2 linked regions of the Rhinolophus ferrumequinum genome follow. The protein of the gene in region 2 interacts with the protein of the main gene of each other region in a biochemical or structural test. Links are inferred from orthologs where the notes say so. Each region holds a gene or a part of one and is shown on either strand. Other genes may lie near its edges.

Region 1 (8,006 bases), on a different chromosome or scaffold from region 2:
TATTTTTTTTAACCCAAAAGGGATCATGCTGTGCACATGATTCTGAGACTTGCCATCTCTCCCTCTAATGATCTCTTCAGGGTGCCCGAGGTCACCGAGCGTACTTCCAGGTTGTCTAGGAGGTCCAGTACTTGTGGCTCCACCTCCTTGTAATGGCTGCACATTTGTTTCCTGTGTTTATTTACTATCACAAACATTGCTTCAAGAATGTCATGTGATTTCAGTCTCATGGGATATAAAATAAAAAGCAACAAATAAACTCATAGATACAACAGAATGGTTGGTGGTTACCAGAGGGACGGGGTGTGGGGTAGGATCAAGAGGGTCAAATGTGTGGTGACATAGACTTTGGGTGGTGAGCACATGAGCACACAAGTGTCAGACGTCATATTATAAGCTTGTACACCAGAAATTTATATGACGTTATTAACCAGTGTTATCCTAATAAATTTAATTGAAATAAAAATCATTGAACATACTTTTGTGCATTCTCATGCAAGTATATCTGATGAATAACTTCCTACAAGTGGAATTTTGTCTTTAAAATGATCATACATGCTGCTGAATTGTCCTTCACGAGACTGTCCTGGCCACTACGAATAGATCTGTTTCCTGTGTCCTTGCCAGCACTGGGCACTATCAGACTTGTCATTTTTGCCAAGCTTTAGGTGCAAAATGTTTCCTAATTGAATTTGCATTTCTTTAATTATGATGAAAGTTGTGCATCTGTTCAAATGCTTATTGGCCATTTGTGTGTTCTCTGTGACGTGTTTGCTCTTTTTATAAAAACGATTGTTCACCTCTCTACTGGTTGATTATTTTAAATCTTTTAATTGTGGGAAATTTCAAACATAGCAGACGGACGTGCAAGAGTCCATGAGCCCATGTATGTTGACCAATCTGGTTTCCTTTACAGCCTACCCACTTCCTACATCCACTCCACTCGCTTATTTTGAAGCAAATCTCAGACATCATTTCATTCATAAATGTTTCATATATCTCTAAAACATAGGCACTCAACAAAAATCATACCATTATCACACCTAAAAAATAAACAATTATTCCAAATACATATATTTATGTATCATATATTCCAAATATATTATTTCAGCTACTTAGTGTTGTTTGTCCCGAGTACAGGGTTAAAGTTGGGCAGAGATGCTGCAAGCCAGGATGCAGGGCGGCTTGACCCTGATCAAGATGCTGCCCGCTGACTGTCAGAACACTGGAGGTCACAGGAACCTGAGCTGTCAGCTCAGAGTCAGGGCTGAGTCGGCTGCCTCCAAAGGCACATGCTCCCTTCTGGAGCTCATTCTGGGTGATGCCCAGGCTCAGCCCTGGAAGAGGGGGGCCAGCCTGGGGAAGAGTTGGTATGAACATATTAAGGATGTCATTTTTTAAAAATAGGGAAGAGTGCTTTTTCCTTCCCTGCAGTTCTACTGCAGGGCAGTTCCTGAGGGTAGAAAGCTGGCCTCTTCAAAGAGCAGGGGTGGTGGGGGTTGGCAGTGCAACAGAAAGTAGGGTGGCTTTCTTTGTGGGTTGTGTTCCCCCAGCTCTGAGCTGCTGACCGTTTCCCCAGAAAGGGACCAGGAAGGATCTTCCATTCAGAACACAAACCGAGAACCCCTGAAGAGAGTCAGGAGGCTGAAACCAAAGCCCTCCCAAAGGCAGTTAGCTCCAATCACGGAAGCTGCCACTTTGTAACTGGAGTGACATTTTTCCTATTTGCCGAATGCCAGATTTGTGGATGGGCCATAGCTCAATAGCCCAGACCCAGCTGCAGGTTCTTAATAAAGGGAGCAGTGGGAGAATATTTTTCAAATTTTTTTCTGTCCTTTACTAGCAAAGGAAGGCAGAGAGGACTGTTAAGTGGAGATGTCAATAGTCTCAGAGTATCTCCCCACAACTTCTCAGATTAAGGTGGTGTCTGCTAGGTTTCCCCACCATAGTTAGGATTTTCTCCTTGGCAACATGAAGGCAGGCTGGATTCCTCTCAGCACAGCGAAAGCATCCTTGAGTACATTCCAGCACCCAGTCCACCTGGCTCTGTTGAGTGGCCAGTTCAGCAAGCACTCAGGTGGCAGACTGTCATGTGGCATGTAGGCATCAGGGTGCTCAGCATATGCAGGGCCATGCCATCTGCACCCAGTGCACAAGACTGCCACCAGTAGGGTGAATAAGGGGGCCACCAGAAGCAGCACATCCCACTGCAAGAACACAGCTTGTAGTCCTCTGGGAGAAGGGAGAGGTGGACCGGCTGAGGCCGCTGTGGAGGTTTTAAGGATCTTTCCATTCCCCACACCCAGCCTGCGTGGAAGACAAGCCAGGAGAGTTTGAATGTTTGGAGAGACGTGGAGGGATGGTCAGGAGGACAGGCAGGTTAAACAATGAGGGGGGCATGGAGTGCCCCCATGGGTGAACATGCAGCCAGAAAGACACCCAAACCAGCAAGAAGCATGACAGGTGGACCACAGCCTTGGCCACTTGTGTTTATAGGCCATAAGATCCCAGATAGGCAGAAAGATCCCCAGGAAGACAGACTTCTAGATAGAGTCCTGGGGAGACGAATAGACTCCAGCAGGACAGCCAGACAAATGGACAGATTCTTGGACAGATGGTAAGATGCCTAGCCAGACATCTAGAAAGACCTGTGGCCAGACACATGGATGTCCCCCCTACCCCATGTCCAGCCAACCAAAAGACAGAATCCCTCAAGGACAGCCCCCCTCCCACACACACAACTGGACAAAGAGATGTTATCCCAGTGGAGAGATACCCCACCTACCCAGTCAACTAGCCAGCCAGACCTTTAGCTTGACAGACTTAACCTCTGCCAGTAGGAAAGACCTCAGCCTATGTGGAAGCCAGGCTCTTGGAAGGATATACAGAGAGATCCCCTCAAGCCAGCTGGATAGACAGACCCTGAAGCCAGGTGGACAGATACACGCCACCCAGTCAGACCAACAGAGCCTACACCCCTAGGTGGACAGAACATCCTCAGCTAGTCAAACCCCAGTTGCTGGGTCAGCCTTCCTTCCAGTCACCACCATGGATGATAGGGATGGCCCACTGCTCCCTCAGTGTCACCTCTATCCCCAGGTACCACCAGTTTGCAGTAACCATTGACTTTCAATGACATCTACTACCACCAGGGTCCACAAAGCGCTTTCATGATCGCTCAGTGACTTTCCCATTTGCTCATATGCACTAGTCCCGAATGACTGCCATTAGTATCCATGAGGACTCAGAAATGCAGGAGTCTCTGTGACTCCTCCAGTGATCTCTTATTTTGTCAGAGTATATAGATACATCTGTATCCCACCTCCCTGACTAAGCCATGACCATCCACGAAATCTCAGTGATTCCACCAACATTCACTATTGTGTCCTGAGTAGGAGCCCTCAGTGACCTTCCCTGACTCTCTTGACCCCTCAATTACTTAAACTAAGACTCCAAATTCCAGGGGCCCCTCAGTTACTTTCACTGTCTTTTACTGACCTCCCAGTGACTGCTGTAACATCCAATGACAGTCCCCAGAAACATCCACAGATCTCCTACTGGCCTCCAGTGAATTCACTATCAATGTCCATCCTCAGTGATCTGACCACCTTTGAACCCTTAAAAATGAAACTGATAACCGGAGTCCACAGTGACCCCCAGTAACTCCTCAGTAAATGAAACAGCCCCACTGATCCACTTTGACCTTTCAGTCACAAACCAGCGTCAGCAAACCACAGCCTGCAGGCCACGGGGGGGGGGGGGGGGGGGGGGGGAATAAAGAATTCATGTGTTTTGTAACACATGAAAATTACATGAAAGTAAAATTTTAGTGTCCACAAATAAATAAAGTTTTATTGACACACAGCCACACTCATCCCTTTATATATTGCCTATGGCTGCTTTCACACTGCATTGGTGGAGTTGAGTAGCTGGCACAGACCACAGAACAAAGTCCTTTAAGAAAGGGTTTGCCCATCCCTACCTTAAACATCTTTCTGGTAACTCCCTAATGAATTAAATCCACAACGTGAACCATGACCCTGTTGATCCCTCATGACAAGGTACACCTCACCCACTGTCACCCCTTCGACACCTCAACGACCTCAAACTGGATTCTGCAGACACCCTCTCTATTGACAACTCCCTTCCCGAAATTCCTCCCGTGATCCCGGTAAGGGGTTGGGCTAGCCTACCTGCCCAGGCCAGTTCTTGGCCACACCCCTAGGCTCCTATCTGCTCTTTCCAGCCTCTGTTTGGTGACTCCGGAAGCTGGGGCAGCAGCTGTCCTCTGGCTTTTCCCTGCACATTTTCTGAAGCCCAGGGTGTGGAAAGAGAAAAAAAGATGCTCTTTGAAAGTGTTGAGACCACCTTGTCCCTGGAACCCATTTCCAGGCCTCAGTTCTGGGTTTCTCCGTAGGTATATGCAGATTTAGATCCTCAAACTACTGTGTTTCCCGGAAAATAAGACAGGGTCTTATATGAATTTTTGCTCCAGAAGACGCATTAGAGCTTATGATTTTTGTTATCCTGAAAAATCATGCTAGGGCTTATTTTCCAGTTAGGTCTTATTTTCCGGGAAACAGGGTAGGACTGGAATTTGGCGGTCCCAGCTCCTCCTAGCCCAACCCAGAAAAAGGACCCTCAGGAAATACTCGGATTCAGGAGCATCTGCTTCCACTCGGTCTTTCTCACAGCACGGGTGCCCGTGTGCCTTTTCCCCCCGCCCCCGGTTACCTTTCCGACTTCCCTTGGACCACACCGGAACTCACAGAGCGGGATGTCCCCCACCCCGGGGTCCCCGAAGCAGAAGAGGCAGCACCATCTCGGCGCCGTCTCCACTCACAGCTGCCGCGTGCCGCCACTCCCCTCCACCCCCACCCCCAGCCAGGCTCGCTCCCCGACGCAGCCTAGCCCCCAGGTGATGGGCCGGGGAGCCGGGTGAGGGCGCGCGGCCATCCACCCAGCTCGGGCACCAGGAGGAAGGTGCGCCCCGAGCGCGGATCCCGGGTCCAAGCGGGAAGAAGTGTCCGTGGACTGTGAGGCCTCAGTCGGGCCGGCGCGGCGGCCACAAAAGAGGGAAGCGCCAGCGCTGGACTCACTTCCCCAGGCCAGTGCGCCAGGACCATGTCGGGAAGTTGCCGCCGGGGTCTGGAAGCTTGTGAAAGAGGCTGGGAAGGCTCTGAGTGTCATTGGCCAAGGGGCGCCGGCCGCTGCGCGCTCCCATTGGCTGGTGAAATCGGAGGCGGGGCCTCGACCTCGAGCGGCACCGCTGGGGCTGCGAACTCCCGGCGCAGCTGCCCGACTGGACCCAGCTGGCCAGCCGCGCTATGAGTCGCAGCTTGGACGGGCGCAGAGCTTCCTGGAGCACTTGGAGGCGCTGGGCGACCGGGAGGGGGCGGTCCTCGCCGGCGAGTTCAGTGTGAGTGCGCGAGTGTGGACCGCTGCACGGGCGCGCGCTGCGGCTCCTCGCCCTGGACGGTCCGGTCGTCTGTCTTGTGCGTCCTGCCTCGCTTTGCCTCTGTCCCTCTGTCTCGTCTCTGTCCTCCCCTCCCTCCCTCCCTCTCCCTCTCTCCTCCTCTCTGTTCCCCCTCTCCCTCTCCCTCTCTCCCTCTCCCTCCATCTCCCCCTCTCCGTTTTCTCTTTCCCCCTCTCCCTCTCCCTCTCTTTCTCTCTCCCTCTCCCTGTCTCTCTCCTCTCCCTCCATCTCCCCCCTCTCCTTTCTCTTCCCCCTCTCCCTCTCCTCTCTGTCTCTCTCCCTCTCCCTGTCTCTGCTTCTCTCCCTCTCCCGCTCTATCTCCCCCCTCTCCCTTTCCTCCTTCCCTCCCCCTCTCCCTCTCCCTCTCCCTCTCTCCTCCCTCTCCCTCTCTCCCCTCTCTCTCTCTCTCCCTGTCTCCTTCTCCCTCTCCCCTCCCTCCCTCTTCCCTCTCTCCCTCTCCCTCTCCCTCCCTCTTTCTTCCCCCCTCCCTCCTTCTCTCCCCTCCCTCCCTCTCTCTCTCTCCCTTTCTCTCTCCCTCCCTCTTTCTTCCCCCTCCCCTCCCTCCCTCCCCCAACTCCCCGCGTCTCCTTTCCCTTCCCTCCCGCTCTTTCCCCCTCTTTCCCTCCCTCCCTCTCTCTCCCCCTCGTCCGCCTCCCTCGCTCCCTCTCGCCCCCCTGTCTCCTTCCCCGTTTCCCTCCCCTCCCCTCCTTCTCTTCCCCCTTCCTCCTCCTCCCTCTCCCCTCCCCCCTCCCTCCTCTCTCTCCCCCTCTTCTCCCTCTCCTCTTTCCCCTCTCCCTCCCCCTCCTCCTCTCCCTCTCTTCCTCTCTCTCCCTGTTTCCCTCGCCCTCTCCCTCCCTTCTTCTTTCCCCTCTTCCTCTCCCCCTCCCTCCCTCTCCCTCTCTCCCTCTCTCCCTTCTTCTTCCCCCCCCTCTCCCTCTCCCTCTCTCTCCCTCTCTTTCTCTGTCTCCCTCCCTCTCCCTCCCTCCCCCTTCTCCCTCTGTCTCTCACCCTTTCTCTCCCTCTCTCTCGATCTCTTTCGGTGTCTAGAGTGTCTCCTCGCCTCGAGGTCTCTCTGTTTTTCTCTCAGTAGCACCTCTCTCTCTGTCGCTCTTTATCCCTGTCTAAGTCTTCATGCTCTAACCGCAGGGCCCCAGAGGGCGAAGTCCATTGCCTGGCTGGGAGGGGCCGCACGCACCCTCAGGTCCCTGTGCCGGGGTCATGTTCCCCGAACCTTCGGGCTGCTGGGCGGGGTGGGCGGGGCAGGTGCGCACCTGCTCCTGACAACCGGGCGGTAGTCTCTCACTCCTGTGGTCAGTGGAGGAAGCTTCTGGGGAAAGAGGAACCTAGAGGCCCTGCGGCAGCGAGGGTGTGGACGGATGGCCACACAGGCCCGGATCGCCTCTGTGACCCTGGGGCGCTTTACCCAGTCCCTCTGGCCTCGGTTTCTCGTTGGGTGAAATGCGGATGCTGAAGACTAAACTGGCCTGAGGATGAAATAACTGGTGTGGGTAAAAAGCGCTTCGCACATCTTGCGCCCTCACTCTGTAAGGAGCCTTTGTCACTAGTTACAAATATTCTAAACATTACATGGGGTAGTGCAAGCCCTGTGTAAGGAATGCTGGTATAGCCTCATAGGCACCGTTTACTACACGTAATAAGATGTTTTAAATATAATTTATGTAATAGAAACATGCAAATATGTAAACACAACATGATGACATATCAAATTTAGAAATATGAGATATACAATAAATATATAAAAATAAGTTAGATAAATATATGTATGTAAATACTTTATATAATTAATAACTATATAATGATTCAGTACAATAAAAATAGGTAACAAATTTATGAAATAATTGTATTAATAAATATAAATATAGTGATTATGTAAAAATAAATATAGATTATAATTTATACAAACATAACTTCATAAAACAATAGAATAAACAAATGCAACATATAGAATTATAGTTTATAAAATAAGCAGTTATCCAATAAGTTCCTAAGTAAATATGAAATATATAACAAATAGATAAAAGTATAAAATAAATCTAAATAATTCACACAAATAAAATAGATACTTTAATGATAAATGTACAATAATACAAACTATATAATTTATTCAATATGAAAATGTGCATATTAGATGTAAGCATATAACACCCGGGTGGTATATGACGTCATGCCCATCCAGGTCTCAGTCCAGTCTGGGGCAGTGAGTGATGCTGAGGACCCGCTCTAGGGTGGGTGGGTGATGAGCAAGGCCAGCCCTCTACACTCACAGGAATCTCTGGGCCTCTCTAGGCCTTGGTTTCCTCATCTGTATAATAGAAATATCAACAGTAGCACCCACTGACACTAGGGTGTCCATGAGGGCTTACATGACCTGATGGGCATAAGTAAAGCACTTAGAATGGTGGCTGGCACCCAGTGGTGGCTCAGCAGGAGTTATTGTCATGATTGTGAATAATACCTGATGATGATGGTAATATGCTGTTTGCTAATTATAATAATCTCACAGTAAAAA
Region 2 (7,641 bases):
AGGTGTGCGTAAGGGGGGGAGGGACAGATTGTGTAGGGTCTATATAGGCTATGTAAGGACAAGGATCATTGTCCTGAGAACAGTGGGAACTCATAACAAGGTGACAATGGGAAGGTACATGATCAAATCTGGGTCTGAAGGTGCCACTCCACTGTGTGGAGAACAGACAGTAGTGAGCAGAGTCGATTTCAGGATGTGCAACTACAAGACCTGCTGCTCAGGAGGGCCCTGCATTTGGGGCTTAAGGGTCTGCAGTCGTCATCTTGAAATTCTTCACAATATTAGCTTCAAATTTGTGTTTTGTAAGTGAAGATCAATGGGAGACCAATGCAGCATCAAGGACTTAGAGCCTTGGCTCAGCTGCCTCCTGCCACCTCCCCTGGATGGGTTCTCAGCTTTCCCCTCCCAGCTCCCGTGCAACGACCCTGCCACCCTCTGCCCCCATCAGGGACATGGGTGCATGTGTGGGGAGGCTCAGGGCTGCCTGGTGGCATCTCAGAATGGGGCACAGCAGTGGCTGATGGCACTATACCACATTTGGCAGGTGACTTCCACTCCTGACCAAGTACCTAGTGCACCCTTGCATGAGTTTGCAAATACCCTTGGGGATTGCAGTCCACCTTGGGAAAGGGAGATGACTGGCTTGACTTCCCGGACCCCAGCTGGGGAATGGAGTCCGGTGGCTGATAAGGAAACCCAGCAGCTGGTGGGTTTTGCATAAAAGTGAGTAAACGAGAGGAGGGCCCTTGTCCTACAAGTATGTCCAGGCCCAACGGAGTGTAACATTAAACAGCAAATAAAGTACTAGGCCAGGCTAAGATAACATGGGAAAGGAAAACATTTATGTTTTAGTACATTTAATAGTAATTTCCCCCTGCTTTTTTAGTAAGAGGCCCACATTCTTATTTTGCATTGACCCTGGAAATTACATAGCTGATGGTGGTAGAGAACAATCAGTAAGATGAAGTGTATAAAATCCGTGCAGGTCCCGCAGCTATTAATACTACTTTAATGGTAGCCAGGATTATTTGTGTTGTTTATTTGGCTCAAAAGGATGGATGACGTGGCTTCAGGAGCTGAGCCCTGCTATGTGGCTGGCTATGACAACTGATATTGTGACAACTGATTTGGCATTTTATACTCAGTCCTTCAACCTACTACTTCTTGAATTCTTCAGGCAGATGTGTTCAAATACCGTGCAAAACAGGATGGGGCTCTGCCTGCACAGGGGGACTCCCCTTTAAAAAGGAGCAACAGCCTGGCTTGAGGCACAGCTGCCCAGTCCTCAAGGCAAACTGTTTTGCAGCAGCTAGAACAGTCATTAAAAAGCTGTGATTTTCAGGACTGGAGTCTCCTCCCCAGGGGGCTGGTGACAGAGGGACGCCCAAGAACAGTTCCCTTTTCTGAGGGGCATTTGTATGTCTCTGTTCTGATGTCTCACCTCCCTGATGTCCCATCAGCCCACCCCCTACCCCGGCTGCGCCATCCAGGGTCCATCTGTCTCTCAGGGATATTACAACAACCTCTGCTGGTCTCATCCTCTCTGAGCCATTTCCCATCTGGAGGGATCTTTCTCGAACCTGCCTGTAGGCTCCCCAAGGCAGAGACCAGGTGTGCCTTGTCTCTGGGCCCCTGTTCCGACAGGGTCTGGGAGCAGTCGGTGCCCACAGCGCTTGCGGAGCGGCTGGGGGGGGGGGGGGCGGCGCTGGTTGCGGTGATTGACGCCCAACACGCAGAGCATCTCCGTCAGGGAGTCCTGAGGCCAGTGGTGGTGACCTGTGAGCACGGGACTCATTTCTGGCCAATGAGACACCAGGGGAGTTCTCCTGGGAGGTTGGGAAGGAGGCGGAGGAGAAGAGAGGCTCGGGAAAGAGGGGACACAGAAGCGTCCTTTCTCCTCCTGGAGGTGTGTCGGTGTCAGGAGCATTGGAGGAGAGCTCTGCCGCCCCAGAAGGAGATAGTGAAGTAGGAGAATCACAGAGAAACGGAATTGGGGCCCGAATGGACCCCACGGAGCTTGCCTTCCCTCCAGACCCCTCGTTGGGACATGACACCCTTGCTCTGTGTCAGACCCTCTGGTTTTGTGTTCCTGCAGTCAAGGCACCCTCAGAGGGTGCACGTCACACAACGAGCCAGAAGACCCTGTGCCAGGCTTGGACTCTTGCCAAGTAGCACCGCAGGCCCCACGACGCTCCCTTGGCTTAGTTTTAACAGCTATCGAAAAGGGGAGAGGTTCTGGAGGCGTCACTTGAGGAAGGAAGGAAGACACCTGCTGTGCAGAGTGGAGGTCAGGAGCATGAGCTTTCACGTCACACAGACCTGGCCTAAAGGCCAGCGCTCCACTTACTGGCCACGAGGTGTCGGGTGAGTCACATAAACTCTTTTTTTGTTGTTTTTAGTACTGAATTACACTTTATTTTTTGAACTTTAAACGAAAAACAACCACACTGACGTGTAGTGATGTGAGAGCAACAGTGCTTGGTGTACTTTTTTTTTTTTTAATAATTGTTGTTTTTTTCAGTTACAGTTGACATACAATATTATATTAGTTTCAGATGTACAACACATACATTCCTTAGTCACCTGTTTGCTCATCTGTGAAGCAGGGATGGTGACAGTGTGCACCCCGCAGGGTGGGGGGAGGACTGTGTGAAGGGCCTGTAGAGCCTTCCTGTGCCACTGGCACTCAGCAAGTGCTGCAAAGCCGCATGGGCTGTTCCGGCCCAGCCCTGGAAGGTGCAAACGGTGGGGCGCTGAGGAGAGAAGGAAGAAGCCCTCTCCGTAGCAGAGAACTTTATGGTTTCTTTAGATGCCTGCCATTACTTCCTTCCTCAATTATTTTAGCCCACAACCCGCACGGCCATCCATCCGGGGCTGCCCCAGCTGAAACAGAGCAGTTAGGAAAGGAGGGCCTCCTGTGTGAGAGCCTTGAGATGAGCCTTAAGGGCTGGGAGGGCCTGCCCAGGTCAGGAACAACAAGGAAGGCATGCCAGCAGGGAGGCTGGGGGACAAAAGGGTGAGGTGTGGACAAGGAGTGTGAAGAGTACCTTTGGGGAGAGGGGAAAAGGCCTGTTGGGAGCAGAAATTTGTGGGGGGCTGATGGGAGGAACTTCTGGAGAGGCAGGGGAGAGAGACTGGCTACGAGGTGTTCTGCCGATAAGAAGGTCTGAGCCTTCTATTAACAGAGGATTTCTAGTCTGCCTGTAGAACTAGGGCATTATCCGGTTTGACAGGTGGAAAAACGAAGGCCAGGGAGGCTGAGTCAGAGCTTTCGGAGACGGGACGCCACTGGGATGAGGTGCAGTCTCTCAGCATTTGGCCGTTGGGGTTCAAGGTGATATTCATACCATTAGATGTCTTCCGCGGCAAGCAACAGAAAACCTAACTAGGGTGCCTTCAATACTTATTAGAAGATGTTTATTAGCTCAAACCCAGAGGTCTGGGAGACAGGGGGTTACCGGGGGCAACCACACCCCTCTGCGGTTCTCCCTGACGTGTTCTCTCTTGGGGCTATGTCAGAAGTATGCGTGTGCCCCATCTCCAATCCTGGGCACACATCTCTGGCACTTGGGAGCTTAGCTCTTGTACAGCAGTTTTCACTTGTCTCGTCAGTGGGGGTGCTCGCGGGGGTGCTGATTTGTGGACAAGCTGATTCATCCTTTCTTGTCAACTGGCTTTGGGCTCAGGAGCCCCTGCTGGCATCTTCTGTTGCGTGGGCAGGCCCTGGCCCCTCAGAGCTGTGTCTGGGGCTCCAGCCCAGGGCTCCTCTCGCGGTGGTACCTGACAATGCCCCCAGCACCTGCCCAGCCAAACCAGAAATTCTGGTAACGGTCTCAAGACTTTTTCCTTTCCAAAGACTGAGGGTGGCAGATGGGGAAACTGAGGCTCAAAGAGTTGGAGAGTCAATTAATATCCCTCAGCCAGTGAAGGGTGGGGCCCAAACAAAACAAAAACTGGGCCTCAACCTGGATTTTCAAACTCCTCCATCTGTATCTTTATACTACTCTCTCTCTTGGTCCAACCACATTCTTCCAGTCTGAAGACTCCACCTTCAGAGGGGGCATCCTGCCCCAAAGTGTCTCATCTGGAGACTTGGGGCTGGGGTGGGGAGAGTGCCCGTGAAGCCTCAGACGGTTCTCTCTTGGCCAGTTATCTACTCACCACACCTCGGTGCTCCCACAGTCCCCAGAGCCCAGCTGTGTCTGCCCCTAGATCGTGAGCTCCTTGAGGGCAGATGTGGATTGGGGCACCGAGAAATCAGGGTTTGATGAATGATGAAGTCCTAGGGCTGGGGAAGCCTCTCCCGAACAGTTTGCTGGTGAGGGCTGTAGAGTCTAGCATCTCTGCGCCTGATCGGGAGTGGGGCTCGGGCCCTGTCCTTGCCCACACCTTCAGTGGGCTTCAGGCTCCCTAAATGTACAGCCGTTGAGAATGGCCCAGTAGAGGGCAAGTGGAGGCAAGCAGCAGGGTGACAGTGGCAGGCGGAGCTGCACAGGGGAGCACACTGGCTCTACTTCCTGTGGGCGAGCGCCCTGGTACCCGCCCCCGGGGAGAGGTTGCACAGACCTTCCTGTGCAGCCTTGGGCTGCCTGCCTGCCTTGTCCGTGTACAAAACTATCTCTCCCTCTGGCCACTGCCTCCTACCTGGGGCTGGCATCCCTACTTAGTCCTGCAGCCTGGGAGGCTCTCCGCCACCATCACTGTGCAGCGGGTAAGGGGCCAGGCAGGACACCAGGACCCGCCGTCCCATCACCGGGCTCTGCTCCTTCCTCATTCTGCTGTGCGCTTTTCCTCCTTCTGGCAGCTCAGCTCTGGCTTGTGTGCCTCTTGAGGTGCTGCAAACAGCACCGGCTGAGTTGGGGGAGCCTGGGCCAGCCTACCAGGCAGGTCTGAGACAGTGCTCCTGGCTCCTGGCCTCATTCAGCCCTGTCTGTGGCAGGAAAACAAGTTTTGCCGCAGCATTTTCCTGAAGATGATGCCCCAGCTTCAGTTCAGAGATTCCTTTTGGGTGAGTGAAGACGGTCTGGGAATTTAACAGCCGAGTGCAGCTTGGCTGAAGTTTCCCCAGGGCAGATGATGGGGGTGTGGTTCCCAGAGAAGATGGGGGTGTTCTCATAAAAATACTGGTTGGTTTTTGGCCTTAATTGTGGGAGTGACCTGGGCCACTCTTCCTTCTAAGTTGGAAGATGAAGCGAGTCCTCGGCCTGGGGTATTGATTTCTCTGCAAACTCCAACACAGTGAGCAAAGGGGTATCCCCTATGCCCCCCCGGGGCTCTTTCTCCTCCAGGCGACCCTCTCCCCATGGCAGGATCTTCTTAGGAGAGTCTAATATGTGGGTGGGAGTTTGAGGAGGCCAGGCAAGGCAAAGGAAGGAATGGGGCACAGGTTTGGGGACAAAACAAACTCGAATTTGAATCTTGGCTCTGCTATTTAAAGGCTGGACAAGTCATTTTATTTCTCTGACCTCATTTTCCCCATCTGTATAGTGGAGATTAATATTAATATACATACCAGCTGAATGGGAGGGTTAAACAAGGTGATCAAATGTAATCAGGTCCCCTGCTCCTTGCTGGCACCCAAATGGTAACTCTCTTCCCTCACCCAGCCCCTCTTCGTGCAGCCCTTAGGGGCCCTTTGAGGAGGCAGCAGGGCTGAGCAATTCCTTGCTCGCTTTCTTAAATTCAATGCAGCTGTAAATAAAATCCTTTCCATGAAATAATGGCAGCCACCCGATTCATTGAGGTGAAATGGATTGGCTCAGGCCACACGGCCTGCAAGCCCAGTTTGGACCCCAGATCCCCTCAGCTTTTTTCTAGCTGTCCCTCAACCTTCCCATCTGCTCTTCAAGCTCTGGCTGCCCCCAGTGGCTCATGGAGAAAAGCTCAGACCTCTCTGGTTAGAGTTAATGAATGAGGCTGTTCCGAGGGCCCCCCTTTCCGTCCCAAGGAAGACGCCCTGGCCCTTTGGGTTAGCCAACAGCCTCCCTTCCCTGGACCCTTTTCTGAGTGACCTGCTTCACGCCTACATTGACCACACAGGGGGCAGAGGGCCATCTAGGGAGAGCACCCTGTGCCTCTCTGGATCTTCGTTTCCCCATCTCTACAAAGAACCAGGAATCAGCCCAGAGAAGCCGGGGAAGGCAGAGGTGGCCCAACCCATCCCAAGCACCAGGAGGGCAGCTACAGCTCACTTGGGGTGCGGTGGCTGCAGTGGGGGAGGCAGAGAGTGGTGAGTCACGTCCCCGCTCTGACTCGGAGTACAAGGCTGGGGAAAGGGGCAGGGCCTGGAAGGGCAGGTTGCTGTGTAGCCCGGGGCAGGCCAGGAGACCCTGACTGTTTTACCTCCAGGACATCCCAGGCCTGGGTGCCTGGGTGCACCTTCTCTAGGGCAGAGCTGAGGCAAGGAACAGCCCCATGGCAGAACCTCAGCAGTGGGGGATGGTGTATGAGGGCACAGGTTATGACAGCAGCAAGAAAGCAGCTCACCTGTGTCAGCGTCCTGAGCTGGCCTCCAATCACACTCTGCATGTGCCCCACCTCTGAGCTGCTCAGGGCTCCATGGCCTCCGGGTGCCCCCTCTCCTGCACTGCTGGCTCCCTGGGCCTGGGGCGAGGGTATAGCTTCCCTGGGGAAGGCCAGAGCTGGGAGAGAAAGAAGTGGACAGTGGGAGCCTCTCACACTGATCCTCAGGTGACCCCAAATGTCACTGTCAGCACTGAGGAACCCCTGATCCCCAGCCCAGCACAGCCCATGAAGACAACTAATACTCACGGAGCACTAAAGATGTGCCAGGACCAGGTGTCCACTTACTCATTTAAACCAATGAAGTAGATGCTATTGTTATCCATATTATTCAGAGGAAAAAAATGAAGGCACAGAGAGTTTAAGTTACTTGCCCAAGCTCACACAGCTGGGATTAAACCCTGGCTCCAGTGCCTGGGTTCTCATGTAGGGTGCTTCATTCCCCTCTATCAACATGGCAAGTCACTAAATCTTTGGGCCACGTTGGCAAAACGGATGGAAAAATTCTGTCCGTCCTACATCCCAGAGAAGTAAGAAGATCAAACAAGGTTGATAGAACTACCTTGAAGCTCAATTTACAGACAAATCTGTCAGACACAAAAGACATACTGATCTGTTGCTGAGGGAGTGTTAGGGACAGAGCCCAGCCTGCCCCTTCCCTGACTGTCACCCCCGACCCCAGGCCAAGGCAATGCCATTAAACCCTGCGGCTTGGCAGCACACAATATAAAAATGACTAGTCTTTAATAGTGGAAGGAAACCACTGAACTAGAAGAATCCTGTCTAATTCCACCGCACTTCAGTTATCTCGCAGCCTCAACTATCCAGAACACGAGTTGCCAGCTCTGTTTCCTGCAGTAGCTCACAGTAAGGAGAGAAATAGAAGTGGTTTCTGAGGAGCTAAGAGCTTGTATTAAAGCTCATATAGTTTACCCATAGGACATGGCTCATAGCTTTTAGTTAGGGCCTATGAACTCTGATTATACCCATTATTATTATTATTATTATTATTATTATTATTATTGAGATTCCAAGAGTTTTAGGAGCTGTGCGCCATGAAACAGGAGCAGAGACCAAATACATATTTCTCCACATGTCACAGGCAGATACTATCTGTAT

What was found. The genes of interacting proteins can lie anywhere in the genome.
Region 1: the proteins of PSTPIP1 (region 2) and PTPN18 form a complex in vitro, tested with the Homo sapiens proteins (2 studies listed by BioGRID and IntAct). The link is inferred for Rhinolophus ferrumequinum from reciprocal best matches to the Homo sapiens genes PSTPIP1 and PTPN18.

What each region holds. Positions count from the first base shown.
Region 1 is NC_046293.1:91,748,747-91,756,752, forward strand, and holds the start of PTPN18 (tyrosine-protein phosphatase non-receptor type 18), read left to right. Parts: upstream 1-4,983; 5' UTR 4,984-5,419; intron 5,420-7,000; exon of another isoform or gene 7,001-7,020; intron 7,021-8,006. UniProt on the Homo sapiens protein: Differentially dephosphorylate autophosphorylated tyrosine kinases which are known to be overexpressed in tumor tissues.
Region 2 is NC_046289.1:100,969,669-100,977,309, reverse strand, and holds the start of PSTPIP1 (proline-serine-threonine phosphatase-interacting protein 1), read left to right. Parts: upstream 1-4,543; 5' UTR 4,544-4,972; coding exon 4,973-5,008; intron 5,009-7,641. UniProt on the Homo sapiens protein: Involved in regulation of the actin cytoskeleton. May regulate WAS actin-bundling activity. Bridges the interaction between ABL1 and PTPN18 leading to ABL1 dephosphorylation.